Arabidopsis thaliana: one gene and its partner. The protein of the gene in region 1 interacts with the protein of each later gene in a pairwise test. Each region holds a gene or a part of one and is shown on either strand. Other genes may lie near its edges.

Region 1 (16,006 bases):
GTGCGTAGTTAAATAATTGCCAGGCTATCTGGGCTTGGAAACCTGTGACTTGGCTCTGCATTCCCACACCTTCCCAAGAATTTTTTTTTGCAATTTTCTAAGTCTTGTAGCAATGTGATATGAACTTGGAGAACCTTAACCTTGCTTTGCGAATTCCATTTTATATGTGGATATTCCTCGTGTACTTTTTTTTCCATGCAATGTGGCTGTATTTGTAATCGCAAGTGTTTACTATACATCTCAATTGCTTGACTCTCTTGATTTTCTTTGCAGCCTGTCGGTGTTGTTGGTGCAATTACCCCTTGGAACTTCCCCTTAGCCATGATTACTCGGAAGGTCTTGCTTTTTTTACCATTCCAATTTACCTTCTTCTTTCTGTAAATAGCTGCCTAGTACCCAGTGAGTATGTAGAACTTTTTTCATTAAATTTGATGTAGATGGTAAATGGTATTGTAGGTCGGCCCTGCTCTTGCTTCTGGATGCACGGTGGTTGTTAAACCATCTGAACTTACGCCCCTAACAGCACTTGCTGCGGCTGAACTTGCACTTCAAGCTGGAGTTCCTCCGGTAATCTTTTATATTAGGCTTGAACTATACAACCAACTAGCGTCTCTGGTCACATCTAGATGGATTTCCTCATGTCAGGGAAATAACCAATAATGTGTTAAGTTCGAACACAGTAGTCTTTCCGTTTTACATGTAATCTGATTTGAATATTTGATCAGCCCATCTCCAAGAGTTTGTATTGTCGTCAATGTGGCTACTATCTGATGTATGGACCCATTGATGTAGGATTAAGTGGTTTAAAGGCTAGTTTTTTACGAAGTTTCTTTTGTGCTAATGAACTCTTTGGGCAGACCATCTCTTTAGGGTTTTGCTCTTTTTTTTTTTTTTTTTTTTTTGTATTTGTAACACTTCATGTTTCATTTGCATTATTATTTTCAATAGGGGGCACTTAATGTGGTCATGGGAAATGCTCCTGAAATTGGGGATGCTTTGCTTACGAGTCCACAGGTTTCTCTAATCATATTTGTGTACATTCTGTTATTTGTATCTATGCCACTAGTAGTGAATTTTGATAAGTATCCTTATTAATTGACTGCTTTTGTTTCTCGTGCTACTCAGGTGAGAAAAATCACGTTCACGGGATCAACAGCAGTTGGGAAGAAGTTGATGGCAGCTGCTGCACCTACCGTCAAGAAGGTATACTTAAGCAACGATATCATGCTATTTAAAATAATATTCTCTAGAATCTAGATTGAATACCCCCTGGTACCTCTTCTTTTTTATTGGTGTAGGTTTCTCTAGAACTTGGCGGCAACGCACCCTCTATAGTATTTGATGATGCAGACCTGGATGTAGCTGTAAAAGGAACGGTAAGTAATAGTCATAAGGTTGAAGGCATTTCTTTATCCAAAAGATGCAAAAACGTTGATTCATCTGGAATTACTCAGAACTGACAGTATCCCGTCTCTTTTCCATACTAGATGTGTATATAGTTTTACTGCTTATATAGATACTTATGTCCATGATCCACCTATCCCAGCTCTTAGTTTCAAGCTCAATTTTCTTAGTGGTGCACTATGGGATCTTCAATACCCTAAAACATTATATTACCCATTTGATCTGTGATTGCAGCTTGCAGCGAAATTTAGGAATAGTGGTCAGACATGTGTTTGTGCGAACAGAGTACTTGTGCAAGATGGTAAGAATTGGGATACTCGGCACACCCCTCAGGATCTTGCATCCAGTGTTAATATAATTATATTTTTTCCGCAGGTATCTATGATAAATTTGCTGAGGCCTTTTCTGAAGCGGTTCAAAAATTAGAAGTAGGAGATGGGTTTAGGGATGGGACAACCCAGGTATGTCCTTTTTCGATCTTATGCTTCTGCTTTGTGATGTTATACCCTTGATGATTGAGGGGGTTACAAGAAATATGAGAATTTCACGTTCATGTACCTTATTTCTACGTTCTGTCGAGTAGCATCCCAAGCGATTTGATTTTAAAATTAACTGAGTCTCTTGTGTGCTCTACTATTTTGCTGTTAATCTATTTGTCGCTTCAAAATTCTTACAGGGTCCACTTATAAATGATGCAGCAGTGCAAAAGGTACATTCTATTAATAATACTTTGCAGATTCCGTTTTTCATGCACAACAATAATGTTTGATGACAGAATGTTTATAGTCTTCATGCTTGATAATTTCAGGTAGAGACATTTGTACAAGATGCTGTTTCTAAGGTTTGTATTTTACCTTATGCATCCTTGCTAATCCTTGATTTCTAAGCAATGCAGTTCATATATTCTATTTGTATTCAGCCAAAAACAATTCTTGTATTGCCAATACTAACACAAGTACTCTGTTCAAGTAAAATCTTATTTATTGGTGTCTTCTTTTTAAAGGGAGCAAAAATCATCATTGGTGGCAAAAGGCACAGTCTAGGGATGACTTTCTATGAGCCTACTGTTATCCGCGATGTTTCGGATAACATGATCATGTCTAAGTAAGTACTGAAAAATTTCACATAATTGCAGTGTTACAGCTTCTTGTATCTCTAAAGAACGAGTTATAGAAACATAGTGTTCCTCGCATTTTTGTGATCAGAAGAACTAATTTACTTTTTCTAGGGAGGAGATTTTTGGACCTGTAGCTCCCCTTATTCGGTTCAAAACCGAGGAGGACGCTATCAGAATTGCTAATGACACAATTGCAGGTTTGTCCTCATTTAATCTTGGTAACCTTTTTCTTTTACTTGTCGAGTCTTAGGCTAACATAATAAGTGGAAATGTGTCTTGTGTGTGTATGTGTGTGCAGGACTTGCTGCTTATATATTCACAAACAGTGTCCAAAGATCTTGGCGTGTATTTGAAGCACTTGAATATGGACTTGTAGGGGTGAACGAAGGACTCATATCAACAGAGGTAAGACCAGGGATGAAAGAACCACGTTCTCCTAATTATAGCCATACATATGCTTACATCTTTTGATTGCAGGTGGCTCCATTCGGGGGAGTGAAGCAGTCTGGTCTTGGAAGGGAAGGATCCAAGTATGGTATGGACGAATACCTTGAGGTAACTCACAACACTCATTTCTCTCTTATTGAACTCGCTTCAGTTGATAGGTCTTATATAATATTAGAAATCTACGTAATAAAGTCTGCAAGGTTATAGCCTTATAGGTGGTTAGTTTTACATTTTCCTGTCATGCGATTGCTCCCAAACTCCAACTATAACACAGAGACTATCGATGCGAATCTGTCTTTTGAATTGTTTATAAGCATAAAGTTTTGCAAATTACTACTTTTCATTTATTGATTCTGGGCTCTTGGCTTTGACGCAGATCAAATACGTATGCTTGGGAGATATGAATAGACACTGATTTGGTTTGTTTGAAAAGCTTTAGAAATTGTAAGTTTTTCTCCTCCACTCGTATCCTTCTAATAAAAGCTTACTGTGGAACATAATAAGGATTCGGAGGATACTTCTTAAGAAATAAAGATTTGGTCTACGACCAATTGTTAGCATGATTTTTAAGTAATAATTTGGGGTTTCCATTTTATTTATCTTTGTTTACGTTATTTTTTTCTTTGTTTTACGTTAATTTTTGTAATTCGGACAATTTTTGCTTTGGATATACCCAAAAAAATAAAAAAATAAACGTTGTTGTTCTTTGCTTCATTTATCAGCAATTTTTAGAAATCGATTGGGTTTATTTTTCTTTTTTCATCAGTATCTTGTCATTACTATTTATAAACGCTTTATGTCTCATGTGACAATGTTTTGGAGGATTATGACTTATTAACAGTCGATCGATTTATCGAATTTAGTGTTATATATTAAAATATTAATTATTCAAAAAAATTGGATCAGTTATGTTTCAAAATAGCGTTAGATTACATGGCTCTATGCCAAAGTTGGGATTTTATTTTTGTTTGTAGTTTTTTTAAGTGGGGAAAAGATAAGAAGGTTAGAAGGAATATATTCATTTCGGAGAAGAAATCCCAAAGCACCATCACAAAAAGATGCTTGAAGTTCAAGCAACTGTGGCCTCTATTTTTTTATAAGCCGACTTACTTTATTGTCACTAATTTCATTTCTTTCTTTCTTTAAGCTCTTAGTTTGCTTCAACAACAATTAGCTAAAAGTTAAACATTAGCTTTACTTGGTTTAACTAAAAACAAAAACTTTGGTTTCTTTTTTTCAAAGCAAAATACAATTTAGCTTAAAATCATTATTGAAAACATTAATAAAGAAAGATGAGAACTTAAATGATTTTAGGGCGGATGATTTGCTAATGCTAATATGCATCATATCACTATGAATCAATTTTGTAGATAATAGTGATGATGATTGTGAAAACACAAATATCGTGATAATATAAGTAGGAATAATATATGTGTGTATCTATACTCAAAAAGTGGTAAGAAAAAATAAAAAGTCTAGTAAACTATGTAAATGTGGCTGGCCAAGTTTATACGGTTGGCATCTATCGCGGGAGTTGTATTTTCATTTTTTAATATTGTTGGCGCAATAAGAATCTATCTTTATTCATCAAAGAGGAGAAGAATCGATTCCAATTCTCATGCAATTTGAACTTTGATTTAATATTTAAATTCAAAAGTTATAACCATTTTCTTATTTTATCTTGGTCAGAATTGTGTGCGGTAATTGATTAATTTAATTTATTGTACAAATAATTCGTTTCACAGCCAAGATTTTTAACATTTCTGGCAAAGAAAAACACTGTTTTTTTATTTATTCCAAGAAATTAATATCTGAAAAATGTGTTACCATGTATAGCTGCACAATCGTCAGTCCTACAAAAGCCAAAAAAGGTTATAGCCCCAGCAAGCTTTAACCAATAAATTAAAATGGAGAAAAGAAGAAAAACATATGGTAAAAATAAAAAGAATAAAAGAGCTTTAATAAGTAGAAGAAGAGGTCCCCAACGTTAACTCTATCTTTACACATTGATGCATAATTCTCCACATATTAATAGTCCGTGTTTATAATATGTATAACTTTAAAAAATTGTTCCATATTCTTATGTTAATTTTTTTGTTTTAATTCAATATTCATTGACTGGTATTGGTCTACATTTTAACATGTACATGCTTTCCCTTAATTAATACTTAATATATAACCTCTAATAAATTTCTGATTCAATTCAAATTTTATTCTTAGATAATATTCTCTCTTTTTTGTGTGTGCATATCAGCCTCAGCCATATTCATTGACTTATTCTTGTTCTATGTAAATATGCTATGGGACCTCCCACTCATATATATTTAGGTTGACCATTTATTTTACATGCATGCAATTGAATTTAGGGGTTAATCTAAATCGTTGCGTATATGAATTATATATGATTTTAGTTTGTATATTGAAAAATGCATCGTCGTTCTATACATAAGCTAGTTTAGTAGCTAATAGGGCAATATTAACAAAGTTGATTTTCTGGTTTGTAGTGTCCATACAAGTAATTTAGTTAATTATCTCGTTTGTTCACCTTTTTGTTTCTTTTTTCTTTTGCTAGCTAGTTAATTGCGGATGTAAACTACATCTTTTACTAATCGATGAATGGAAAACGTTTTTGTCGTAGACAAATATTCCACCGTACCTAACGGTTTTGGATTGCATGTATATAATAAATTTGTTCCAAAAATATACGGTCTATTAATTTATAACGAAGCTCATCATTGCTTAGAATTGTATATTCACCTCATAATTAGCCAAAAAGGTTTACCCTACCATAAATGATAAAATCCCTAGCCTTGTGGAATTTGTTTCGTTAAGATATTTGTATGTATGCCTCCAATTACGATATATGACGATGTAGACAAACTATAAGTCTAGTATACGACTCTCCTCGTGCGGTCTTAATTGAATAGAATACATAGAACTTTAATATATTCACTTTAAAAGTTTATATTTTCCTATAAAGAAAATATTTACAAATCTTTGATTACTATTTACTCCAAATCAAGCATGATTAAGAAAATAGTATATAGAACAATTGTATGATAAATTTGGATTTAAAAATTACTTCTAAATTATAAGGTAGTAAAGAAAAAGAAACCAAAAATATAAGAATAATAGATGTGCAATATCTTTGATTCAGGTGAATTATATTTTAACTTAGATATCTCAAGTCATTTTAATGTTTATATCAGGAAATAAAGAAATAAAAACCATCATGCAACAAATCATGCATATATATTAGATACATCCGTAACCGCTTTTTTTCGTCTTTTTTTTTTGTTTTTTTCGTCGTCACATCCATAACCGTTTTGATATGAGATCTCCGATGTTCAAAATTCAATTTCCCCCAAAGATATCAATTTAATATCTAATATATACTATTATTTTAAGTTTGCGCAGTAATTTAATAATCTGAGACAGACATGATTTACTTAATGTATACGTATAGTGGCTTTTACACACATTTTATATTGAAAGAAATTCAAAGGTATTCAAGCTAAGAGGATAAAAAACACAAATGAAAAAGATAGCGACAGTATCTTTTCACAAAGGAACGTCTGTGTACTAGTCTGAAACTTTAGTTCTCTTCCTTACTAACGATAAAACATATTTAACTAAACCATAATTTATTTACAAACAAAACAAAAAAGACGAGAGAGAGAAAAAAAAGCCGTCATCTGATCTCTTCAAAAACGCATCGTATTCTCTCACATTTTTGCATCACATTCGTTTCTTGAATCCCCTCTTTCAGAGAGAGAAAGAGAGTCAGAGAGAGAGAGAGAGAGAATGTTCCATGCTAAGAAACCTTCAAGTATGAATGGTTCATATGAGAACAGAGCTATGTGCGTTCAAGGCGATTCAGGCCTTGTCCTCACCACCGACCCTAAACCGCGTTTGCGTTGGACCGTCGAACTCCACGAGCGTTTTGTGGACGCCGTCGCTCAGCTCGGCGGCCCCGACAGTATGAACACACATACACAAATATATATTCAATCCATTTAACCAATTATAAATGTGTTTTTTCAAAGTTTTTGATCATTTCTATTTGCAGAAGCGACCCCAAAGACGATTATGAGAGTTATGGGTGTGAAGGGTCTTACTCTTTACCACCTAAAGAGCCATCTTCAGGTATGTACACAAATATAGATTAGGGTTTTTTTCTTCCTTGCTTTTAATTTTCTCTCCTCTTTATCTTTTCTATTCTTTTTTTCACTTAATAATATAATATAATAATCTAACAACTTATTTGGATCTATGGGTGCAGAAATTCAGGCTTGGAAAGCAGCCGCACAAGGAGTACGGAGATCACTCCACAAAGGAAGGTTCAAGAGGTGACCACTCTTCCTTTCTCTATCAAATTAGGGTTTTTATAAAAAAGTTACCCATAATATAGATATGTATTAATGTATATATATGTTCTTTGATCCGTCTTCTTCTAATTTTTTTTACCGTACGTGTAGCTTCTGCCATGGATATTCAGCGCAACGTAGCTTCTTCTTCTGGCATGATGAGTCGCAACATGAATGAGTAATATTTTAATCAGATTTCGTTAATTTTCTCAACTTTCATTTTAATATATATTACAGCAACTCACACCAGGTTGGTTTGATCAGGATGCAAATGGAAGTGCAGAGAAGGTTGCATGAACAGCTAGAGGTAATTAATTAACCTATAGATATTCTATGATAACTGCTTGTACAAAATCAATTTGTATCCCATAAATATAGTAAATGATTTCATTCAATTTTTATAGGTGCAAAGACATCTGCAACTGAGGATTGAAGCACAAGGAAAGTACATGCAATCTATCTTGGAGAGAGCTTGCCAAACCCTAGCCGGTGAGAACATGGCAGCCGCCACCGCAGCAGCCGCCGTCGGAGGAGGATACAAGGGTAATCTGGGAAGTTCGAGTCTTTCAGCAGCGGTGGGCCCACCTCCTCATCCTCTTAGTTTCCCGCCGTTTCAAGACCTAAACATCTATGGAAACACAACCGACCAAGTCCTCGACCATCACAACTTCCATCATCAAAACATAGAGAACCATTTCACGGGTAACAATGCTGCAGACACCAACATTTACTTGGGGAAGAAGCGACCTAATCCTAATTTTGGTAACGATGTAAGGAAAGGACTATTGATGTGGTCTGATCAAGATCACGATCTTTCCGCAAACCAATCGATCGATGATGAGCATAGAATTCAGATACAGATGGCTACACATGTCTCCACGGATTTGGATTCTTTGTCGGAGATCTACGAAAGGAAATCAGGTTTATCAGGTGATGAAGGGAATAATGGTGGGAAATTACTGGAAAGGCCATCGCCTAGGAGATCACCATTGAGTCCTATGATGAACCCTAATGGTGGATTAATACAAGGAAGAAACTCGCCATTTGGGTGATACAATTTATTAATTTTTATCTATGAGTGATGCATGGGAATGTAAGAACGAGATATATATGTTTTGTCATTGTGAGTTTGACGTAGGGTTTAGAGATGAGACAAAACAAAACAAAACAAAAAAAAATAAAAAATATATAAGCTTTGTTATGTTTACCGGATTAGTTTTGCTCGTGTTTTATAATCTGTACGGAAACTATATATTATTGCTGTTCTTATAATATTTTAGGATCTATATATTTTGTACTTATTCGTTACTTATTTCTTCTAGTCAACTGTTTGATGATTGATCTTTACATTGTTAGTCTCAGTAGAATTGCCGAATATATGTTTTGTTATTCTTTTATCACCCACATAAAATCTGTAGTTGCCTTTTATGGTTAACTAGCTATTTTCATATTCTATGTTTGATAGCTTTTTTTAATGGCAATTTCAAATAAATTAAGTTTAATTTCTTACATCCGCAATTTTATTTCATATGTACATACTTGTACGATTTTCATATTTGACAGTTTGCCAATTAGAGGCATATAAAATGTGAATGTACTAAAGTATATCTAGTACATGTATATGATAAATCAGTACATATGTATATTACCTTAACCAGTATATATATCCCATGCATGAACGTAACTGTATATATGACAAATAATAAACATTTATGTGTTAAGAGCTAGGTTGCTCATGTTTCAAGGCATGTACGATATTTTAAAGCTTTTGAAGGGCCCTTTGCTTTTTCATGAGTTAGTTATTTCTATCTCAAGTTAGTTTGTACTTGATGCCTTATATATGATTACGCTAAAATGGGATATCTGCATCGGGAAACTAAATTTTCAATCAAACTTAAAAATAAAGTTTATGGTAAAAAAAAATCATAAGTAAATACGAAAAAGAAAGGACAGCGCAAGTGATAATGATGATGATGATCCCCATCAAAGCAAAAGGTTTTTAGGGTTTTGGGAAAACCACATGCAAACACCAAGAAAAGCTGTAAACTTTGATTCAAATGTATATATAGTCACTTGATTTTGTAGGATACTACTATGTATATGTGTATGCAGTTGTACGCATATGTAAGTAAGTGTGTATGTAGAGATTGATAGCTACAAGATCCTTTTCAAAAGAAATAAAAGAACTTGTCATAAGAGAAATTAACCGACACTGAGTATCTATCTTTCCTTCCGTATATATCTTTGTTCTTTATTCTTTTATTTCTTTTCTGCTTCATATGACCACTAATTAGGACATATATTTATACAAAAGAAAATTATTACACTGATCATTCTTAATTGAATTTCAGGAGCTTAGTTATAGATCTTACAAACATCGGGAAAAAATGTTTGTAATTCAGAATTTTTGCTCTGCTATGATTTTTACTTACTCGATGCATCCATTTAGTCACAACTACAAATTACGGCTCATATATGTATATGTTTATATAAATTATTACTGATCAACTTTGTTGGGTTCAGAGAGAGAAAATATAAAGATCTGGTCATCACTGCAAGTTGGCAAGTAAAAGAGAAAGCTCTCTCAGTCTCTCTCACTCTCTCTAAAAGCTGAGGAAAACAAAAGGCAAAAAGAGAATTGAAGAAGAAGAAGGAGAAGCATAGAGATATTAACGCACTCCCATGTATGCACTTCTCGAGGAAGCTTCTCTTCTCCTTTTACATACGCCCCCACTAATTCCCTCTAATTACGTTCCTCGGTTTTTTTCCTTCTATTTAATTAATTGGATTTGAAGACAAAAAAGAGTAGACGACCATGTAATAATAATTAAAAACAAAAAAAAATAAATCAGATAAATTTCTTTTATTTATTTATTATTATAAAAATACTATATAAATTATAACTAAAAATAATTATTATTTGGGGATACATTTGAAATATCATATACTTTATCAATAAATTAGTTATGGTACAATAATCAATTTAATTGTGAAGATGCATTATATACAAAGTGGATCCGACGAAATGACGATGATGCATGTTTTGTGAATATTCATTTCACAATAAAATCACACCAACCACAAGTTAATTATTATAACTATTCGGTGCTTTTTAATATATATCCATCTGAACATCTCATTCTGTTACTTTTTTTTTTCGCATTCACATGCATAAACGTGCATGTGATCGTAGCTTTACTTGTATATCATAATTTTAAATAGGCTAATAGTAAAGCTAATGTTTGTACACATATCATATGGTAATTATTATGGTTGTTAAGCAAACTAAAGTACTTATAATAAACAAATAAAGTAATAAAGGTAACGGTCTTGGATGGTCTATGCACATTCTTCCATACAAATCCTCTGTAGGCACCTCATTACGATCTCGACCTTGGATTCCATTTTCTACTCCCTTACTTCTTCTGTTTTCCAAAAAAAAAAAAAAAAGAAGAAGAAGAAGATAATATACTTCTTTTTGATATTCTATATTTTTCAAAATGATACTTTATTTTTGGTATGTGTTGATGTAGAATGCTCTCTTAACAAAGTACATTCCCGAAGCATCTATTTTTCTTGTCCCTTCTTTCTCTACTGTCGTCATTTTTCCATTACTTCTAAGTTCTAACCTATTTTGAGTATTTTCCAAAAAATTCAAATAACTATTCATATATTTTTATTACGGAAAGAAAAATAAATCATTAGATTTGTTACATTAAAAAAAAAAAAAAAGAATAGAGAAGAAAAGCCCATTTGCATCAGTTTCTTGTTTACGCTGAAGAATCAGACTGGGCTTCCATATAATGCCCACTAAGATAAGTCCAATAAGAATGTTATATATCCTCCCTAGTACGAAAAAGGAAAATCCCTAGTTGAGAATCATCAATCCGATTGGCGGTAATGACGATTCTGGTTTCGTGTTGTGACCATTTCCGATCTTGAGAATTAATCGTAGACTTTTAGTAACCAAGTTAACCTTAGAAATTGTTTGACTGGTTGCTCATATCACTAAATTTCCGCATATAGGGTTTTATTCAGAAATTTATGGAGAAAAATTAGAGTACTCATGTCGTGGGTTCTGATTTGACTCTCTTGTACCAGGAATAATATGGGTATCATTAAGGGAAATCTGAGGCCTTAGTTAGTTTGTATGATTTTTTTTTGCTTGATTTAATTTCAGGAAAATGAATGGTTTTTACTTAAAATCCAATAACTTTTAAACGAACGATTCTGATTTCTCCAACCCAATCCAATATTAGAACTCGTCATAATCTTACAAGCTTACAACCCAAAATAACAAAACATGGATTTTTAGATTTTATAGAACAAACATGTACATACATATACCATCAACGAATTAACCCACCAATAAAATTGTTTTCTGGTTATTAAACTAGTCCACATAATCATCGGGAATTAACAATACTGTAAATATTATTATTGTTAGGGTTAGTATCTTCAAATATATCGGCGGGAGGAATAAAGGAGTCCAAAGAGAGACCAGGCACATCGAAAACGACGTCGTCTATCCTCCAAATCTCCTCCATCCTCGTTCTGCTATACTGCAACGACGTCTCCCCAAATCGGAACACCGTCGCGACGGCACGACCACAATGCGCGACGGCTACTCCGTCAACGTCACGGTAATCTCCGATGCTTGTTCCGATCGTCGTCTCCCAGTAAACCGCCTCGTCCTCAGGCGAGATCGTCATAACCCTAGTGAGGTGCGAATCCTCTAAATAGACTAATAGACCGCTTTTCTGACAGAAGTATCCGTACAGTGCGTGGCGTATAACCTCCGCCGGAGCTCCGGCGTCATTCCGTTCTAACAACGAGTCACGATCGGCGGAGACTTTGAGCACGAAACAGTCATCGTCGCCGATTCTTCGTTCGCCTAAGCATTGGGCCTTTGCGAATAGGCTTGCTGTGGTTTTTGGGTCCAAGCCCTGTAGCCCAATTACAAAAACAAACGGGTTTATTAAAAAAATATTCACAAATATCTTTATCAAAAAAAACAGAAAAGGAAATTCACAAATATATTGATTTTGTGTTACTTAATTTAAATAAATTATACTACTATCCAAGAAAAATGTGTCCGGCAAATATTCGTTGGGGTTTGAACGACAAGAACAATAAAGCAAAAGATTTAAAAGAAAGAAAGAAAGAAAGAAAGATAAAGTGAAAGACAAACTTTGATAATCCCAAGAAGTTCCCCCACTTTAAAAATTGAATGAATGTGTAAGATCGTATTCATGATGAAGCATATAGTACATTACATAGGGTTTCAATACTATTAGTATAATGTCATATTATTTAAACCAATAATTGTACACAGTCACTTAACAATGCGCTCTGAATCTCTGACAATTTAATTATTTCACTATCTTTTAGAAATACCCCAATAATAATAAATAATCTAGGACAAGAACCTCATACCTTGCTAAAAAAGGAACTAAAACTTGAACCATTAGCAAAACATTTTGTAAATAGTAAGTATACGGACTAATCTTAAAGAACAAAAAAAACAAATATACGATTCAATAACAGATGACGTCACGTGACAAGAAAGGAGAAAACCACGTGTGGTGGTGGGAGAGTCAAGAGTGGGTGAATGGGGTTTTGTTTGATTTTGAAGTTTCAAGAGAAAGCAAGCAAAAGGAGGAGACAGCTTCTCCATCACTTGTCAGGTTAGTATTTGTTTTTTTTTTCAAATAATATTATTAGCTTATTGGACAGCGACCACTCTTTTTCCTACCACGTCCTTATCTCTTGGACAATCTTATTACGTCATCTCTCCTTTTTGCCAAGTTTATGCAATTATTTTCTTCTAAATCAATGTTAATACTATTTTTACTAACTAAAGTTATGTTTTGTAGTATTTTCGAGTAATTATCAACATGAAATTACCTGGATTAGACGACGAAGTGGACGTTGAGGGCCTTTAGCGGCGTGAGTACCGAGCCATGGCGTATGGCGCCAAACTGTTTTACCGTCCGAGCCAGAGATGAGTTTAGTTCCACCGAGAACAAGCTCCAGAGACCACATTCCAGGCTGCATCTGCCACAGCACGAAGCAACCACTATCTCCGCTCCTACCGTTTCCACCACCGCCTAGTGTCTTCACACTTTTTCCGGCGGCTATCTCCGTCTCACAGCAACTCATTTTCATTATCCCCGTCGCGTACATGTTTTTCGCCGCCTTCGCTCGCTTTAGACATCCCGTCGCCGCTAAGTATTGTTGTATTATATAATGCGCTGTCGACGTCTCCTGTAATTATACTTATGTATTATTAATTAACAATCCACATCATACTAATTACTTTGCATAATCAAATGGCAAAAAAAATCATTGGTCTCAGTGATGTTTTAACAGACAAACAAATTACATGTTGATTTCACATGTTTTGGCCCATAACAAAATTATTAACCTTTGAACATTTTTTCAACCAATCTTATCTCAAAGATAACTATTCAGACGACTTTGTTTGGCCAATTCAAATAATTAATATAAACCTACCGTTTGAAATTTCGACACAACAAATAACCAGAAAATATTTTTTTTTTCTTTTTCTCAAAGGAACAAGATAGAAATATAATAAATTAAGAAACACAAATAAAATTTGTATACTGAAAATAAATAAATAAATATAAACCAAAGAGAGGGAATAATTAGTAATACTCACAAATGGGACATTCTTGATTTGGAAAGAACCAAGAAGAGGGTCATCGGGAAATAGGTCAGAGACGACAACGGAGATTGGAGCAAGAGGACAACCCAAGACGCCGAGCAAGAGCCTCAAGTCTTGTCCCTTAGCTGGCACGTCATAGCTGTTGCAAAGTGGTTGGACCGAAGGAGATGACATATTTCCAGAAATGCCCTTATGAACCTTAAACCATTCTCTAATTGCTTCCCATGAGCTCTCCTTCTTGGTTCTTTCGTCTTGCATGTCTGGATCTGGTCCTTCCATTAACGGTGTTAGGGCTTGTGGCGGCGTTCCCCATCTTTGCTTTCTCCAGTATGACTTTGAGTTGCTCATTCTAATCAAAGAGTGATGGTGATCAGTCTGATGTTTGTGACGTTCTTTTTTTTTGTTTGAATATCTAACACAATGGTTTTTGTAATGGATAGCGATTATTGGCGTATTTATATATATGTATAGAGATGTATATGTGTGTAGAGAGAGACAAAAGGGACATTTTATCAGTCTAGCGGTCCCAGAAGTTTAACATTATAATTTTAAATTCATGGGAAGAAGCTTATAGTAATTAGTTCGAATATTGACAATAAAAAATAACTTATTTGGGGTTTTAAGGTTTCTTTAAAAATTTAATTAATTCTTGAAACTACGTATGGCTACTTGTTGTATGTTATATAATCTGCGTCTAATAGTAATAGACTATGTTTTATATAATTGGTAAACCGTGTAAGTATTCTGCGTGATATTGATTTTTGTATATTCAGCATTCAGCTATATATGTGACAAAATTATGTAAGTTTTATATGAATTTGTCTTGTCATTTAACTGTATTATATGGTTTTATTTTGTCGTATGGAAAATCAAGAGTTATGTTACAAATGTGTGTGTTTCCCAACTTGTTTTCTGCAAATATGTTATCTATCTATCTTGAAGAGACAATGTATCTATAATTAGTCATACGTGGAAAGGAAATGTGGAACAGCGACTAATAACATGGAATAAAATCCGAGTCATGTGAATAGATCCGATCCGTGCAGTTTCTTTTTGTACACTATGGGCTCTCCTTTTGAGTCTTCGATCACACACTTTTTTGGTCCTTTAAATTTGAATATCATATTAGCTCGATTAGCATATGATCTTTGTCTTGTCTTTCGAGGATATCTAGGCTAATCATTTTAATTTAATTGTAATTACGATCTCTAGGTATGATCTTTCTTGGAAAATGACACTACACCCAGTGATATATATTACTGTGGATTAATGAATTTTTAATACTGTTTGTAGTTTTCTTTTTGTCAAATAAGAGATGTTGTGTCTTTTTATAAAGGGCCCATTTAAAAGATACTATATCAAATACAATTTTTATCTTTTATTTTTGTTGTTCTTTTTCACCTTTTATTCTCCGGATGTCTTGGGATTCGAACTCACTTAAATTCCTCATAGAAACCAAAACATTGAGCACTAATTTTCCTATAATCTCATATAAATGTGGATAAAAAAATTATGCATACATAAATAAGATTATTTGAAAATATTGAAATAGTGATTAGTTAATACCTAAAACATAATACTAACAACATAACCCTAATGCATATCAAATGAATAATAAACATTTGAACAATATGTATATATAATATATGCATATTCAACACAAGGTGGCAAGTCACCAGTGAGAATGGTGGCGGTAGATGAACATAGATAATCTTATAAGCCAAGCTTATAATAATTTATTTTACTATTCAATTTGATAGTCCCCTTTCTTTATTCGTTATATTATATATAACATAATTTCTTGGCGAATTATGACAAAAACAAAAAAAACAAAAACAAAAAATTATCGGCGAGATGTTAAGAGTTGAGTGGTCAAGTTTCACAATTCTCTGCAACATGTGGAAGCATAACGTACTTATCGTGGGCCACACGTGAGCGGTAGACTTCTCAATTTGAGTAACCAATTAAAATGGGCTTTACTTA
Region 2 (16,002 bases), on another chromosome or scaffold:
GGTCAAATGTTGCGGCCAACACCAGTACAAGTATCACAGATTTAAATTTAGCTTATGGGATCTTTCAACTAGTGCCTCACTTCTACTTGGGTGTGACTTTTTTCGATGTATTTTTTGGAGTGAATAATTCGATATTTGAGTTTAAAATGTTCATTATTGTTAGAGTGTGAAACAGTGAAAGGTGTCTCTCGGTCAATGATTTTTTTTTTTTTAGTCGGGGACCAAATTTTTATTTTCTATTTCTTATGAATAATGTACTTGATATTTCTATTTATTATACTTGCTATTTTGGGTCAAGGTTTGAAAAAAGCCGGTTCGATTGATCCAAAATTTGGAGACAATCATGTCACGGACCGTCCGGTATGGAGAAATTGCCCATATCGTCGGTTCGGCGGGATTGGGGGACCGCTTTCATAATATTCCGTCCGGTTCCGTTAAAATGTTTATTCGGCGTGCTTAGCTGGCAACTGTAGCGAAACAGCTGGCATGGTCACTCTCGCACGTGGCCAGCGTCGTCCTATATTTACTATTTTACCCCTATATAGCGCTTTCCTAATATTTCTGTTTTCTTCGTTCTACATCCATTTATTTTAGTAAGCTACGGAACCATAGAGTATATATAGAAATGGTAAATATATCAGAACACTGATTAAATTTTGATAAATGAATATTTGTGTTATTAATCCAAGAAAGAAGATAAAAATTAGCAGGCTTTTTCGAGTGAAATGCCAGCTATGCATCAGTAAATGAGCCTTCACTTCTCTTTTGCTTTATTTTCCCTATTTTTCTGCTTTTCTTTTCTGTTCTTTTGCCCTACTCTACATATAAAAATATGTTGTATTTTCCCATTTTCATGTGCAAACGAATATAATTTTTAACTTAGATCAATGTAAGTGTATATATATATAATAATTTCTATGAGCACATAAATTGATAGTCGTATGTAGTGGGAAAAAAAACACACGCAAACTTCAAAATCCAAATTTATTTTATGGCCTAAAAGTTGACTTTACCCTTTTGAGGTCTCTGACTCTAATACGAGGGGTCAAAATCCGAGGTGGCATTTTCGTTTCAAGCTGCATATACTCATTACACATTACAACAGTATTAATTTAAAATTTTGTAATAAATACATATGACGATCCATTTATTTTCTATGCGTTACATAATTTGATTCGTTTTCCATCATTTGCTTTCACAAAAAGAAAAGAAAAAAAAGAGTGATTCTTAATGGAAGTTGTCCTTATGTAGTATTTACACCGAACATATTATATGGTTGCATAGTAATTGTTTGAACCTAGATACAACAACAAGAAGAAGACACTTCTGAGTTTTTTTTTTCCTTTTTCTTTCCTGACTGTGCTTCATAAACATGTAAGATCTCGTATTTACCGCAAAAAAAAAATTCAAGATAACATTTTATTTTGACTTTTATGAATTCCGGATTTTTTTGTGGTCGGCAAATACAAGTTTCAATCTAGATTCTGTTCAAACATAAACAAACTCTAAAGTCAACCATTACATACAGACACAGACACAGTCAGTCTCTATAGTACATGATATCTAAAATGATTATATTTTTTTTAATAAAAATTTTGCATAAAATTACCGAATTTTTAGCAGACAAGCAGCCGTGAAACACACGGAAGTCGGGGAAGATAAGAGAAGCTCGTGATGAACACTAAGAAAGATCAATGTCTTAATCTGACAATTAGTCGTTTTACTTAAACTAATAATATTTTTTTAACGGTAATCTAAAATTATTTTTGATTTCAACATCTTCATTCTCATTCTTCTGCTTCCTTTTTATATATATCACAACAATCTCTCTTCTCTCTCTTCACCAATTCTTCTTCTTGATTCTCTGTGTTTATTGATTCTGAGGCTTTGGTTTCGAGAAGATGTCACATTATAGAAGACATTCGCTAGAACCTTCCATTACCAGTAAATTCCGTGATTCTTTGAGTTTCCAACGAGACGATGACGTCATCAACAAACCAGATTTCCGAGAACTCGATTTTGGTTCTCCGTTGAGGCCTCGTGGCTCCTCCTCCGCCGCTGCCACTCCCGCCGCTAGTGGCAGCAGTTCAAGCTCCTCTGGTTCTGCTTCCGGAAAACCCGCTGTCACTTCTCAGTTTGCTAGACGGAGTCACTCCGGCGAGCTTTCCGGTTTAAGCCAGACCAGTCCGGTTAAACCCGGATCCGTGAACCGGAATTTGAAACCGGGTCACAGAAGATCCGCTTCCGCTGGAACGCCGTTGATTTATTCCGGTTTGGGGTTCTCTCCGGTGAACAATAACAATAACAGTTCTCGCGGCGGAGGAAGCGGGGCTACTTCGCCGAACCCCGGCGTTTTACCTACCGGAAACATTTGTCCATCGGGAAGGATCTTAAAAACCGGAATGGCTACACGAGCCTCCGTTAGACCCGAGACTCTATGCACAGGCACGGCCAACTACGGCCACGGAAACATCATCCGCACCGGCGGAAAGGTGAGTCACGCGACGAAAGCGGCGGCGGAAATGAGTGACTCAGAGGAGGTGAAGAAGGCAGGTAACGTAATGTATAGGAAAGGGAATTACGCCGAGGCATTGGCTCTTTACGACAGAGCTATCTCATTGTCACCGGAAAATCCAGCTTATAGAAGCAATCGTGCGGCAGCGTTGGCTGCGTCAGGGAGGTTAGAAGAAGCAGTTAAAGAATGCCTTGAAGCTGTGAGATGTGATCCTTCTTACGCTAGAGCTCATCAGAGACTCGCTTCTCTTTATCTAAGGTAAAAAAAATTCTATCCTTTAAAAAGTTTTGATTGAAAAAGGATTAGTATTTGATTGGTTTGGTTTTAGATTGGGAGAAGCTGAGAATGCGAGACGTCATCTTTGTGTTTCCGGACAATGTCCCGATCAAGCTGATTTGCAGAGGTTGCAGACGCTTGAGAAGCATCTCAGACTGTGTACGGAGGCTCGAAAGATCGGTGATTGGAGAACGGTGATTAGCGAAATCGATGCAGCCATTGCAAATGGAGCTGATTCTTCTCCTCAGGTTAGAGATCAAAAAGTGGCATTGATTGCCTCTTTTGTGGTTGAATTATCAGCGAAAAGACTTTATCTTTTAAACAATGAGGTTTGATCTTGTGCAGCTTGTAGCTTGTAAAGCTGAAGCCTTTTTGCGGCTTCATCAGATAAAGGATTCAGATTTGTGTATATCCAGCATTCCGAGATTGGATCATCACCATACTCAACCACCTGAGAAACTATTTGGTATAGTATGTGATGCTTATGTGCTCTGTGTTCAAGCTCAAGTTGATATGGCGTTAGGAAGGTGAGCTTCGAAATGCTTAAACTTCGAATGGTGTTTTTGATTCTTTATTAGTAGTCTTGTTTGGTTCTTGGGTGAGTGAGTAGAGATGTTAGGTTTGTTGCAGATTTGAGAATGCGATTGTAAAGGTGGAGAGAGCCATGACGATTGATCATAGCAATAGTCCCGAGGTAGTATCGGTCTTAAACAATGTGAAGAATGTGGCGAAAGCTCGTACCCGAGGAAACGAGCTTTTTAGTTCGGGGAGATACTCGGAAGCGAGTGTGGCTTATGGGGACGGACTCAAGTTGGATGCTTTCAATTCGGTTTTGTATTGTAATAGAGCGGCATGTTGGTTTAAACTCGGTATGTGGGAGAAATCTGTTGATGATTGTAATCAAGCGCTAAGAATTCAGCCTAGTTACACCAAAGCTCTTCTCCGAAGAGCTGCTTCGTATGGAAAGGTTAGATTGAAGACACTGAATGGTTTTGAACCGAGTTTCTAATTAAGTATTTGGATTAACAAATGTTAAATGCAGCTTGGCCGATGGGAGGATGCGGTCAGAGATTATGAAGTATTGAGAAAGGAACTTCCAGGAGACAGTGAGGTTGCTGAGTCTTTACAGAGAGCAAGGAACGCTCTATCGAACAAATCCGAAGAACCTAAATATTTGGGATTCAATAACGAAGTTGAAGAAGTTTCGACCTTAGATAAGTTCAAGACCGCAACATCACTGCCCGGTATAAACTAGCTAACTCACTTTGCAAGTGTTAGTTTCAAGATTCCTCTCTTTGCTAAACAAAAAAAAATGGAAATATTTTTCAGGAATCTCTGTGTTTCATTTCAAATCATCATCAAACCGGCAAAGCGAAGCAATATCTCCATTCGTCAACACTTTATGCTTACGGTATCCATTAGTACATTTTTTCAAGGCAAGTCACTTGTTCTTATGCTCAATCGCGCAAAATGGTTATCGTTTTTGGTCTAACGCTTTAACGGGGTTTGTTTGTCTATAGGTGGACGTAGAGGAGAGCTTGGCATTGGCGAAAGCAGAGAGCATCAAGAAAATTCCAACGTTTAAGATTTATAAGAAGGGAGAGAAAGTGAAGGAAATGGTATGTCCTAGTCATCAGTTACTAGAGGACTCTGTTACGCATTTCCTCTTATAACATATCTCTCTTCTCATTCTTTCAAATCTTTAGTCTTCACGAACGTAAATTGATTCAAAGAGCCATTTTGTTAATTGAAATTTTCATTCTTTTGTTTTGCTTTACTGTATTATCATATTGAAACCTGCTCCGATTGTATTAATCCGAGGAAAATGCATGTTTCTCAATTATCGTTCATGCAAAAAGGCCCCAATTTAATGGTTCATTTGGTTTTCTTATTTTTGTTTGTTTTAGAAACTCTTACTTATTACAAATGGGTCCTGGTGGGCTGGGTTACTTGTAATAACACTGCTTTCAATAAAATATCCATTGACAAATAAACTATAGTTTCATAGAAGGAATTTGAGGCGCCAATACAGAACACAAACTATGACAAAGTCTCAATGAGAGCAAAAATGATTTGCCTCACATTTTGGGCAAAGGTTATGAATCTCAAGTTCTTAACATTTCATATTAAAGTCTCTTAAACTTAACATGTTATGGAGTTGAGAACTTGAGATTTGTAATAGATAAATAATGAATTACTAGGATATAGCGGTATATCCCTGAAGATTTTTTTTTTATTTTCCACCTCATTAAATCATAAATTAGAACACAAACTAAGAAATACCAAACAATACTAACCAATATAATTTTGCTGAAAACTGTTTCTTGTACTGTTTCATTGTGTAGATATACCAATATAACGTCACCAATTTTTTTTTCAATCCTGGGTTGGAATCGGAATCTTCTAAAAGGGTTAAAATTTACAAAACAAAGAGAAACTCATGTTTCTTTGTTACCATATCTTCTATTGGTTGGTGGAAGAACGCTGACTTTCTCTCATCTTCATCAAAATGGCTACAATCACAAACTCATGATGCTGCAAACAAAACCAACGACTTAGCCCAACAAGTCTACACATTTTGTACATAGGCAAAGTTTTGATCGACTAGGGAGTTTTAAATATAAATAAAGGAGTCGTACCTCTAGAAGTAACTAGGGAAATCCATCATCCCATAATCAAGAGCTGCATAAACAGAAAAAGTTCACTTATTATTCATACATAGACCTGCTGCTGATAATTTGTTCTAGTGGTCAAACATGTAATGCAAAGAGGAATTCATCAAATTAGCAGGTGACTAACAAGTAAAGAAATATGGACCAAGCGAAAACGAAAGAAACAAATGTCTGTCGTGTAATGCCATAGCCAAGTTGCAGGAAAGATTTGATGCATCCAAAAAAAAATCAAATTTTGTCTCCTGAGACTATATGTCAGAAACTAATGGTTGATGCATCCGAAAAATCCTTCCACATATCATGCATTCTCTTTTCAAACATCCATACCCATTATTTCCTAACTTTCGAAGCAGTTAGCATGTAAACTCACAATCTTCTCAATCAACTAACCAACAAAAAGGCTACTCTACACTCAAAACTTACTGGGCATCACACTCAAAACACTTCACAAAGCACTCATGCTTAACAACAAACAGAAGCAGATTCAAGTTTCTAGCTCATGAACTGCTTCCCAACTAATGCTCACATCAGTCATTGTAGAAAAACTTTCCACACTCAGACTATAATTACAAGAAACACAAGTAACAAAGCAACAACATCTAGGAGAAAAATGTAACCAGGACCTCCTCCTTACCATGAATACCAATACTTGCTACTAATTAGTTTATTTTTGTTCAGATTCATCATCTCTGTGCGATATCAATTTGTTCTTGTACTTTGATTGGGTTTATTATAGCCGTCGTTGGCACAGAGACTATCACAAGTAAAAAGGTAAAATTTGTTTCTACTCTTATGCTATAGTCACTGTTACACAGCTAAACAATGGAGAAAGACATAGAATTCTGAACAGATTACGAAATACGGCGAGAGAAAGGATTCAGGTCTCACCGGCGGAGGCGGAGGAAGTCGGTCCTTTGGAGCCAGAGGTACGCCGGAGCTTATGAAGACGTACCTGCATCTCCGTGAACAGTTGCATCCTATGGCATTCCAATTCCTTAGCGAATCTCATTCTCTGCTTCTCCAATTCAACCATTTCCTTCCTCTTCTTCTCCTCGACTCTCTCGTATATCTGTCCAAGCCTCTCAATTGCGTCGGCAACTTCCTTGTAGCCTTGCTTCTTCTCAATTTTCCTCTCCCGCTTCTTGTTACTCCCGCTACGACCGCTCGATCTAGACCTTGAACCTTCCGAGTCATCTTCAGACGCCGGACACGCCGCCGCCGCTGCGGCTGCCGCGAATGCGTTGAGATTCCCGCGAAATCCGAGTAAATCGTCACCGGCGTGAGGTATAATCGCCGGCGATGTCGCCGGACGTCTGGGGATCGCCGATCGTGGAGCGACCGGAACTGGATTAATGGACATCGGAAGTGATAGCCTCTGGTGCGGGATGTTATCAGTTGAATCAGGATTACTAGACGTCGGAAAGCTTTCCCGGAGAAGGTCATCGAGAGCGGAGAAGAAAGGCCAAGGGCTGATGTAGGCACCGGGATTGGATTCCGAAACCCTAGCCTTCTCGACTTTGTACTTCTTCTTCAGAGTATCGATCCGGTTTTTACACTGAACGTCGGTGCGATACGGCTGCGATTTGGCGGCGGAAACGTTTCGACCGGTGTTGTAGTGACGGTCGTTAACGGCGTTAGCCACCTCTTGCCAGTGTTTCTGACGGAGATTACCTCGGCTGAGGTCGACGTAGCGATTACCCCAGGCTTGGATGAGCGTGAAGGTCGCTTCCTCGCTCCAGCAATCTTCACGAGAAAGCGTCGCCGGCGAAGGTCGGGAAGATCCCGGCGAAAAGGAATCGTTGACGGTGTCCATTATAAGGTGAACGACGGCGAGTTAGATCGAAGAAGATGAACGGTGAGGATGAGATAAACGGAGGTGAACGGTGACAGTGACGGTAACGGAATTGAAGAGAAACGAAGTTCTTTTTTTTTAAAAAGACAAACCAGCGTTTTTGCTTTGTGTGCATGTACTAAACCGTGAGCCAGACTAAACGAGCCAGCTCTAGCTAATTTATATACATCGTTAATTTGGTTTTTATTTTTTAACAGCTAAAACGTTTTAATTTTTATTTTATTTTGTTAATGTTGACTACCGAACAAGATAATATTTCTCTATATTTTTTTTTCTTACAAAAGCTTTAAATATTCATTTTAATATGCAATTTGATAAGTCTAAAGTTAATTAGTAATATTATGTGTGGTAGTTCTAATTAAATTTCATTATGAATCGTTGGTAATATATTTTTTTTTTGGGTGAATCGTTGGTAATATAATATGTAAGTTTTGGTTGATATTTTCCTTTTTTTTTGTTGTCTAACTTAATTAGAATATGATAACGGTTCCAAATGAATTGGTATCACATCCTAAATAGTATGTAATTGACAAATTTATAGCATGGTGAAATTTCTGAAACTGTAGATTGTAGAGAAAAATCAAAGCTAATTAAAAAATCGGATATGGCTCGTTAGATGTTTGGTTTAGTTTCCGTAAAATGTAATGATAGTACTGCCAAGTAGAATATGATCAAACGATCTATTTTTGTAAGTTAATGACACATTGCTATATTAGAATAAGTTATTCTAAGTTTTGTGTGTTTAGGTGATAAGCTAAATGGGTAACGCGAACTACTAGTATCGTTGTTATATCACCGAATTTAAACTCGGTACTAGAATGTATGTTGTTGTCAAATAGGTAATGACAAATTACGGCTACGAACATAAAATCGTTTTTTCTTTAAATAACTAGAAGTTCTGCAAAAACTGTAGTTTGCTCTTTTTTCTTTGTCAATCAAAGCTCCTTTTCATTTCTTAAGGCACGAAATATAAACGAAAAGTACATGTATTTGTCCGTAATTTTCTTATAGCAAATGCAAAGCAGGGAACAAACCTTATGGTACGAAAAAGAGTAGCAAGCTTGATCATTTAAACTGAAAGAATGAGCAACTCTTCTCACCTTTTGTAAAATTTATAAGACTTACTTTTTTGTTTCAGAGGTTTTGAAATTTACGAATTTGCAAATGATTAAACGGAAAAGAGTTCCACAAAGCTTTTTGTGGATGTGAAAGCGCCAAAGTTCTTTTGTACAAACTCAAAGGAGAAAGCCAACAATATTCAAAAAAAAGAAACGAAGAAAACAAAAACCTCTCTCGCTGCAAAGTTTTATATTCACAGAAGGAAAATATGATTGAGAGAAAGTTAGCAAAGCGAATACTCACAATCCAGCAAACGAGAGAGTATCTCATTGCAACTCGGTCTTTGTTCCGGTTCTGTCCAACAATCTGCGAACAAGAGACAACACATCAGAAAAGGATACTCCATAAACCCCAAACAAAGCTTCAGGAAAAACGAAATAACAACACTTTGACAAGTCACAAGACCTGCAATAAGCTTTCCCAGTGGTCCTTCAGGAATCTCAAGCCGAGCTCCCTCGTAAGCAATAGCATAAACAACCTGAGAAGAAATATGAGGAAACTTGTTATATATACACATATGTCACTAAAGAGTCTTCTTCTTGTTCAGTTAAGTTACCCGTTCAGGCGGTACTCCTTCCCAAGGTCTGGTTAAAGTGCATAGCTCCCACATTATTACACCTAAACTGAAGATATCACACTTTTCTGAGAAGGGCTCATTGCGGATAAGTTCAGGAGCCATCCACTCTGGAGTTCCTGCAGAGACTGTGTCTCTCATTGTTGTCCCTGTCATTATTCTCGACAGCCCAAAATCACAGATCTTGACTGTCCATTTGTTGCTCAAAAGACAGTTTGCACTCTTTATATCACGGTGTACTATCCCCATCCGGTGTATACACATCAATCCCCTAGCAACATTTTACAAGTTTAAACGCTGTTTGTTAATTAAAGATGATTACGAAACTTTCTCATCGAGACACAATTCCAGGTCCTATTTGGAAGTGTTATTGCCTTCTCCTCAAACCAAAATTTTCCATATTAATACTACATACTATGTTGGAAAGAAGGATACACGGTTTTGTATGGAAGATGAAATTACCTGCAAATGTCCCGCAGCATCTTTAGCTTCCTCCGCCAGCTTAACCTCTTTTTTTGTCCACTCAAGTGGAGCAAGTAATACAAAGATCCCATTTCCATGTACTCAGTGATCAGTGATAATCGTGGAGGCTTTGTGCATGCTCCAAGGAACAGTATAACTACAAGAAGTCGAAGATGCATGCATTGATGAAAACATATACTAAAATCTCACAGTGAAAATTCATAGAGATAGATGAGTAGTTTAGTACCATTGGGATGTCTAAGTCGGCTAGTGGTTATTTGGACGCAGAAGGAGAAGGCAGGAAAGAAAGTCAGAAGACAAGTAAAGACGTTATTGCCAATTTTGAATAAAACAGAGAAAGCCTATAGACATACCTAAGAATTGATATCTCATTGCAGAAATCCTCCATGTTCTCAGCTGTAAGGTCTTGCTCAAGGAACACTTTGATAGCAACGTCTGTCCCGTTCCAGATCCCACGGAATACTTCTCCGAAAAATCCTGGAAGGAAAAATCAACGAAGAAGATTTAGATGGGTTACTAATTCAAAAAAAAAAAGTAAACTTTTGAAGATAGATAAATACGAGGGTAAGGATCGTGAAGTAAGATAACTAGACGTTTCTCTTAAGGAAACTTATGGCCAACAATTTTTTTAAGAACACATAAATTCGAAAACATTGAGCTAAAGATCCTAACCAATTCCGACACGTGTCCCAACAGTCAGCTCAGAGAAGTCTATGTTCCATTCTTCATAAGGTAATAATGGCTTATTCTGGAACATGGGAGATCCCAATACTTTATCCCAGATGTGGCTTATATTGCGATGTGACGATCCACTCTGTTCATATTGGCTTCGGTAGTTCTGGGGAGAAGAAGGTAGTGAGATTGCCTTCTGCGGATCTAGTGGTTCCCTTGAAAGTGTCGACCTTCCACCAGAAACTTGGTCATGGGCATCAAGATGAAAACCAGAGACCTAGAAGCAGAGAAGTCTAGTTAAGCCACAAATTTATAAGTCGTTATCCAAAATGAGTGAACGTTTCCAAGAATCATAATTTTAAGCATGTTTGATAAACATCTACTTGAAATTGATCATTGTGCGTTGTTGTTGAAACAGAAATTTTTATTTCCTAAAAATCACAACGCAGCATATTCTAGGATTTTTCTTTCATTTCGTGAAATTCAGGACTTCCACTTTCAACTTAGTCAACGAGAAAAGAGACACGGTTTGGTATTCTGTTGCAGCCCAAGTTTCTTTGTTTTCAGTAAAACTATTATGATTCCAAGCAAGCAGCATAGCCAAATTTCTCAATATATTTCAGTGATGTATATTAATAAGCTTAGCGTACATTTTTCTGGAGATGAGAGCTCTCGGTTCTGTCATTTGGAGAGTTAGGAGATGAATCATCATCCCCTTGCTCTTTTGAGAGGCGATTCTGCTTCAAGGCTTCATTCATCGCTCGTACTGCCCTGATAAAGATTAACAGGTAATTTTAAAAATAAAGTTATCAATATAATAATTACCAAAAACACTGAAGCTCCGTGTTCCAAATAGTTAATGGTCAATAAATCTGAATGAGAGGTAACAACCATTGCAATTGCTAAAACTTTTAGTTCCATATATGGAATGTTATACAATCACATGCTCGTGCAGTGATGTATGAGATCCCAAGTTAGAAAAAGAACGCCCCTCTCTTGGCATTCTTTTAATATTTACCATAAGAGTGTACCATTAATTTTGTCCTAAACATCATGTATGAAATCACAACTGAGAAAAAAATATATGGTGAAACTGTATACAACTGCAACCTATCACTGGAAATAATTATATATTGAAGTCAGAGAAGAATGTTATGAGGGGAACTATATATGTAACCCAAAATGCAGATAGTTAAAAAAAACATCATACTAGCTTTGCCATGCACATGAAGTTCAATGAGCAATAAACTAAACACCCACCTGACAATATCATCGCCAATCTCAGGAGTTATACTGATGCTTCTCCTCCTTATTCTCTTAGTTTCCATTTTTGCTCCTCCAACAGATTTGCAGCTGCACGTGAAAACTGAATACATAAGCATTTTTTTAACAAACTTTAGGCATGAGAACAAGGTTCTCTGACACCCACAAAAACTAGACAAAAGAACTCGGTAAGCACTAAACGAGACACCAACAAACAACATACCCTCTTGCAGCAATATATTGCATATTTATAAAACTAAAAGCTCAAATCAAGTCTGCAAAGACCTCTCCAACATAATCTAAGTTACAAAGGACAAAAACCATAACGAACCTTGATGTGGCAACATCCCCGGTGAAATCTCGTGCCAAGTTCTTGTCGCCACTTAGCATGGACTTTGTACGGGCTCGGAAGGAAAGATGTTCGGGACTTCAGACGAGATATATCAAAAACGATCTAAGAAATTAGATTGGAACTTGGTTCAAAAATGCATATACATATACAATTCAACGGGGATGAGAGTACCTGGAACTAGCAGTCCGCTGATCAGCAATGACCTTCCTCCGGCTCTGCCGCCAAAACTCGTTAGCCATGTTTGACTCGCTCTGTGAGAAACTGAAGAATAAAAGATAAATACTAATGACATACGGTCATCTATTCCACTGCTTGGTTTACCAGAAGCTATATTCAAACCTGGGGTTGGTTAGCACAAAAAAATAATAATAACAAGTAGGCTTATCACCTTAATTTCCTCTCTAGCGCAGAGGCAGATCGTAACAGCATATTCCTTGATGGTGGACCAGACGTATTTGGAGACCCATCCAGTTTCCTGTGCAACGAAAGGTTTTCATCTTTTTCTGCACTGTACAACACCAATCATTAGAAACTCTGCACAACAAAACACTGAGTATTGAACAGAAGGTGCAGTAAAATATGGTACACACTATACTTATATCCTGCATGTTCATGCAGTGAGATTTTACAATTTAAAACTTCAACATCTACTTACTTTTCATGGTCAAATTTCTCTGGATAACCAAACATGGGACTGTTTGGCTCCAAAGGTGAATCACAAGAGTCATTCTCTGCAGAATCACTTTCCCCTGCCGCTGAGATATGACTCATAAAAATTGCTTTGGTTGATAGAGGAATAAGCTGACCAGGAAATCGCATTAGGTCAACCAGCATTTCCACAGAATTCAGCAAAACAGTGACAGAAATATGACTATATGAGTCCACACTCTCAGCAGCTCCATCACTTGGCAAACCCTGATCAAACAAATCAGTCATAATGCAAAGGATGTTAAAAGGTGATCAAAATATTCAGAAATTTAAGCCACGATGAATACTTTTTTCGAGAATAACATTAATCAAACCTAATCAATCACAAGCCAAAATGGAGTGATACTCAAGCCCACTGATCACATTTTTGTATGGTACTTAGCACTTACCACTACAAGTCGACTTTGCAGGCCAACAGTATCAGCTAAGACTTTGAACAAGATTGCTCGAGGACGACAAGAACCATGCTTGATCTGTCCTAGCAGTTGAATACCACAGTTTTCAAATGACTGCGTACTTTTTGCTGGACTCTGCAGAGTTGATTGCTTATAAACATCTGCTACCTGCCAGCCAATTTCGACAAAGGTTTTCAGATAAGTAAAAGGAGTTAACAAGATTTATGAAATGCTTGCTCTTACCGCATCAATAACAATTCAATGTCCCCTGTATAGACTAATAGGGGATACAAGAGAAAAAGTCAAGCAAACAAAGATACGTATTTCCTAATTTAACGCTTTTCCCAAGTAAGCACAACTTACAAGTGGAATTAGAGAAAGATTGAAGGCAAGAATCTAAATAGTCTGGGGAACTTTATCTTGAACCACAGCAGGATTCTATTGATAGTTTCACCAATTTTGAAAACATAGAAGACGTTAAGATCAATGTGGCTTCTATTAGTATTATAACGGACACTCTCAGCATCACTTTTCATTAGACAGACAACTAGTCACAACTCTTCCTACCTCAATTTTTATCCATTTATGATCACTGTTTTTGCATGCAACTTTAAAATGGAAAAACAATATGGTTATTAAGTGATTTCATACATGAAACAAATTTTGAGCATGTCGATTATAAAAGATATGTCAAATACTCTTACCAGTCCAGCAATTTTCTTAATAATAGTAGCTGGCTTTGAGTTCAATCCACTGACAAGTTTGGTAATCAACTGCTTCTGCCTGAAAAGCTTTTTATCTTTCTGAAAATCAACTAGAATCACATCAGCCTTAAGACCTTCGTCACCCAGAGCATGAAGATCTTCCAATGTAGGAATGTTATTAAATAGCTGCTTCAATCTATTATCCTGTAGAAGATTGAAATATAAACATTGTCAAAGGAAGCAAATAAAAAAGATTCTTGACAGGTAACAGAAGTTAATCGAGTTCGAATGAATTTCACTCAAAAAATCATTGAACAGATCTAATATCAAAATAAAAGTAGCTTACCGGGATCACAGAGTAGAAGCCATTTGGGATGGGCTCAGAAAGTGAACCAGTACTCCAAAGAATATTCGAAGCAGTACTAGATGGCAGCCCATCTTGCCCAAGATTTCTAGGTGAGTCTTTAGTACTAGATGTCTCTTCTTGCGATCCCAGATAAACAGAACCAAATTTCTCCACAAATTCTGAAGGCCACCAGGTTTGATTAGAAGGTCCTTGCTCTGATGGCCCAGCATCATCTCCCGTCTCTCCCATTGCCAATTTCCTTAATGTCTATAGTTATATCAGCCCCTACTTATCCCATAAACGGAACAGTCGAAAAAAGAAGGAAATCCTAGAGACCAAAATATTGAGAATCAAACTTCATTTACCAGTAGCCCTTAAGCTGGAGGTCATTTGATCTGCGTTCACAGAGACGAAAATGGTAATTAAAAACTACGATGGTCATAAAAAAAATGGAAACAAAGAAGGCGGAGATTTTAATGAATTCATAGATACACATTGAAGAAACAAACTAGTTGAACTTGTTTTTCCACATCACAACCTAACTAGTGCAGTGCCAAATAGAGGAAATTTCAAACGTTCTCCTCTTCAACGATGGCTGCATCAAATATTTTCTAAAGGATCAATCTAAGCTTTAACACCAAACATCTCACTGGATGCATAAAATGATCCATTATCAGCCAAAAATACAAAACAAGAAGCGGAAAATAAGAGTTAACGATAAGAAAAACCATCAGCATTTCAACAAGAACAATAGAATTCCACTCTCATAATCCAATCTCACTCTCAAGTCAACGAGAGAATCTCTTAAGGATCTTAACTGAATATAGCAAACCAACATAGATCCCATGAGTATCCTCGTGTACTAAATACCACAATTCTACATAAACTTACTCCCGAATAGAACAGTTCATAAGTGCGATCTACCCAGAAACTCAGTTTCAACACGAAAGCAATCCTAACACAGAACCCACCATAACTTAAAACCGATACGAAAGCAAACACCATCTAGAAACACACCTAAGCTCGATCCAATACATAGCTCAAAGTGCCACAAACATGAATCACAATTCGAGAGAACAAAAAAAAGAGGAGAAAAGTTCAAAAAGGGTTTTTGTAAAATCACCGTAATCAGATCCACGCATTCAATTTCCGATCGAACTTCCGATTGACGAGTAAACGAAATCAAATAACAAAATCGATCTCACTGCGAAGATAGATTCAGCAAAAATCTCGATCAAAGACAACAAAGAGCTATGCGTTTTCGTACACACATACAAAAAATAATCAGAGAGTATTTGTATGTGTGTACGTATATGGTTTTTTTAATAGAGCTGGGAAATTGGGATTTTATATAGTTTTTGAGGGACCAAACGAAAGAAAGAGAGTGATGGGATTTGAGGAAAGTGATGAAGACGAGGGAAAGGAGAGGAAGATGAAGAAGAAGAGAGACGACTGACCAAGTGACGATGGCTATGTCACGTGCGAGTTGATGAGTCACGTGTCATAAAGTAGATGCACCTCTCTTGGATCGACAGCTGGCATCACACATCATCCCTCGTGAATCCCCACCGTCGCTTCTCTTTTTCTTTTTTGATTGGTGGTGGTAATCTTATGCTTTTGTTTTTGCTTTTTTTTGTTAATAACTTAATAATACGGAGATTTATAAGAAGAACAAAAATTAGTTACATATGCTATATTTTATTTTTTGACAATATATATATATATATATATATATATATATATATCTACATATACATTTTTGTAATCATTTTGTGGAAAAAATCCTGGAGTTGAGACTTATTTGGAGTTGAGACTTATTTACAATGGCTGCCACTGGATTTTAATTATTTGATTTTTTTTAATTAATAGTTTATATTTTTTTAAGGCAATTAATTGTATAACAAACCAAAAATATTCGAAATATATGACAATCCCATATGTCACGCAAAACACGATAAATTATCTTCTCCTTATCTCACCTACAATATTCACTAAATCTTAAAACAACCAAAATTTGAACTATTTGAATTATTTCTATTAAATTTCGGCAATCAATTAAAATGAAACAAAC

Evidence for each region.
Region 2: the proteins of APL (region 1) and AT3G58630 interact in a two-hybrid assay, tested with the Arabidopsis thaliana proteins (one large-scale study listed by BioGRID).

The regions. Positions count from the first base shown.
Region 1 is NC_003070.9:29,869,902-29,885,907, reverse strand, and holds APL (Homeodomain-like superfamily protein), read left to right. Parts: upstream 1-6,628; 5' UTR 6,629-6,772; coding exon 6,773-6,947; exon of another isoform or gene 6,948-7,037; coding exon 7,038-7,114; intron 7,115-7,250; coding exon 7,251-7,317; intron 7,318-7,446; coding exon 7,447-7,513; intron 7,514-7,599; coding exon 7,600-7,642; intron 7,643-7,739; coding exon 7,740-8,387; 3' UTR 8,388-8,680; downstream 8,681-16,006. Other genes in the region: ALDH5F1 (aldehyde dehydrogenase 5F1), read left to right, coding at 274-336, 457-567, 949-1,014, 1,126-1,203, 1,299-1,376, 1,639-1,705, 1,780-1,865, 2,081-2,113 and 6 more; AT1G79420 (C-type mannose receptor (DUF620)), read right to left, coding at 11,742-12,281, 13,243-13,602, 14,018-14,371. UniProt on the Arabidopsis thaliana protein: Transcription factor required for phloem identity. Has a dual role both in promoting phloem differentiation and in repressing xylem differentiation during vascular development. Regulates the expression of the transcription factor NAC045 (AC A4VCM0).
Region 2 is NC_003074.8:21,678,496-21,694,497, forward strand, and holds AT3G58630 (sequence-specific DNA binding transcription factor), read right to left. Parts: upstream 7,545-16,002; 5' UTR 7,277-7,544; coding exon 6,352-7,276; coding exon of another isoform or gene 6,341-6,351; exon of another isoform or gene 5,474-6,340; coding exon 5,433-5,473; 3' UTR 5,431-5,432; intron 5,327-5,430; 3' UTR 5,035-5,326; downstream 1-5,034. Other genes in the region: TTL4 (tetratricopetide-repeat thioredoxin-like 4), read left to right, coding at 1,902-2,773, 2,844-3,039, 3,137-3,318, 3,422-3,758, 3,834-4,035, 4,121-4,227, 4,312-4,464; AT3G58640 (Mitogen activated protein kinase kinase kinase-like protein), read right to left, coding at 8,658-8,740, 8,840-8,912, 8,991-9,279, 9,471-9,627, 9,718-9,737, 9,845-9,968, 10,164-10,440, 10,814-10,934 and 8 more.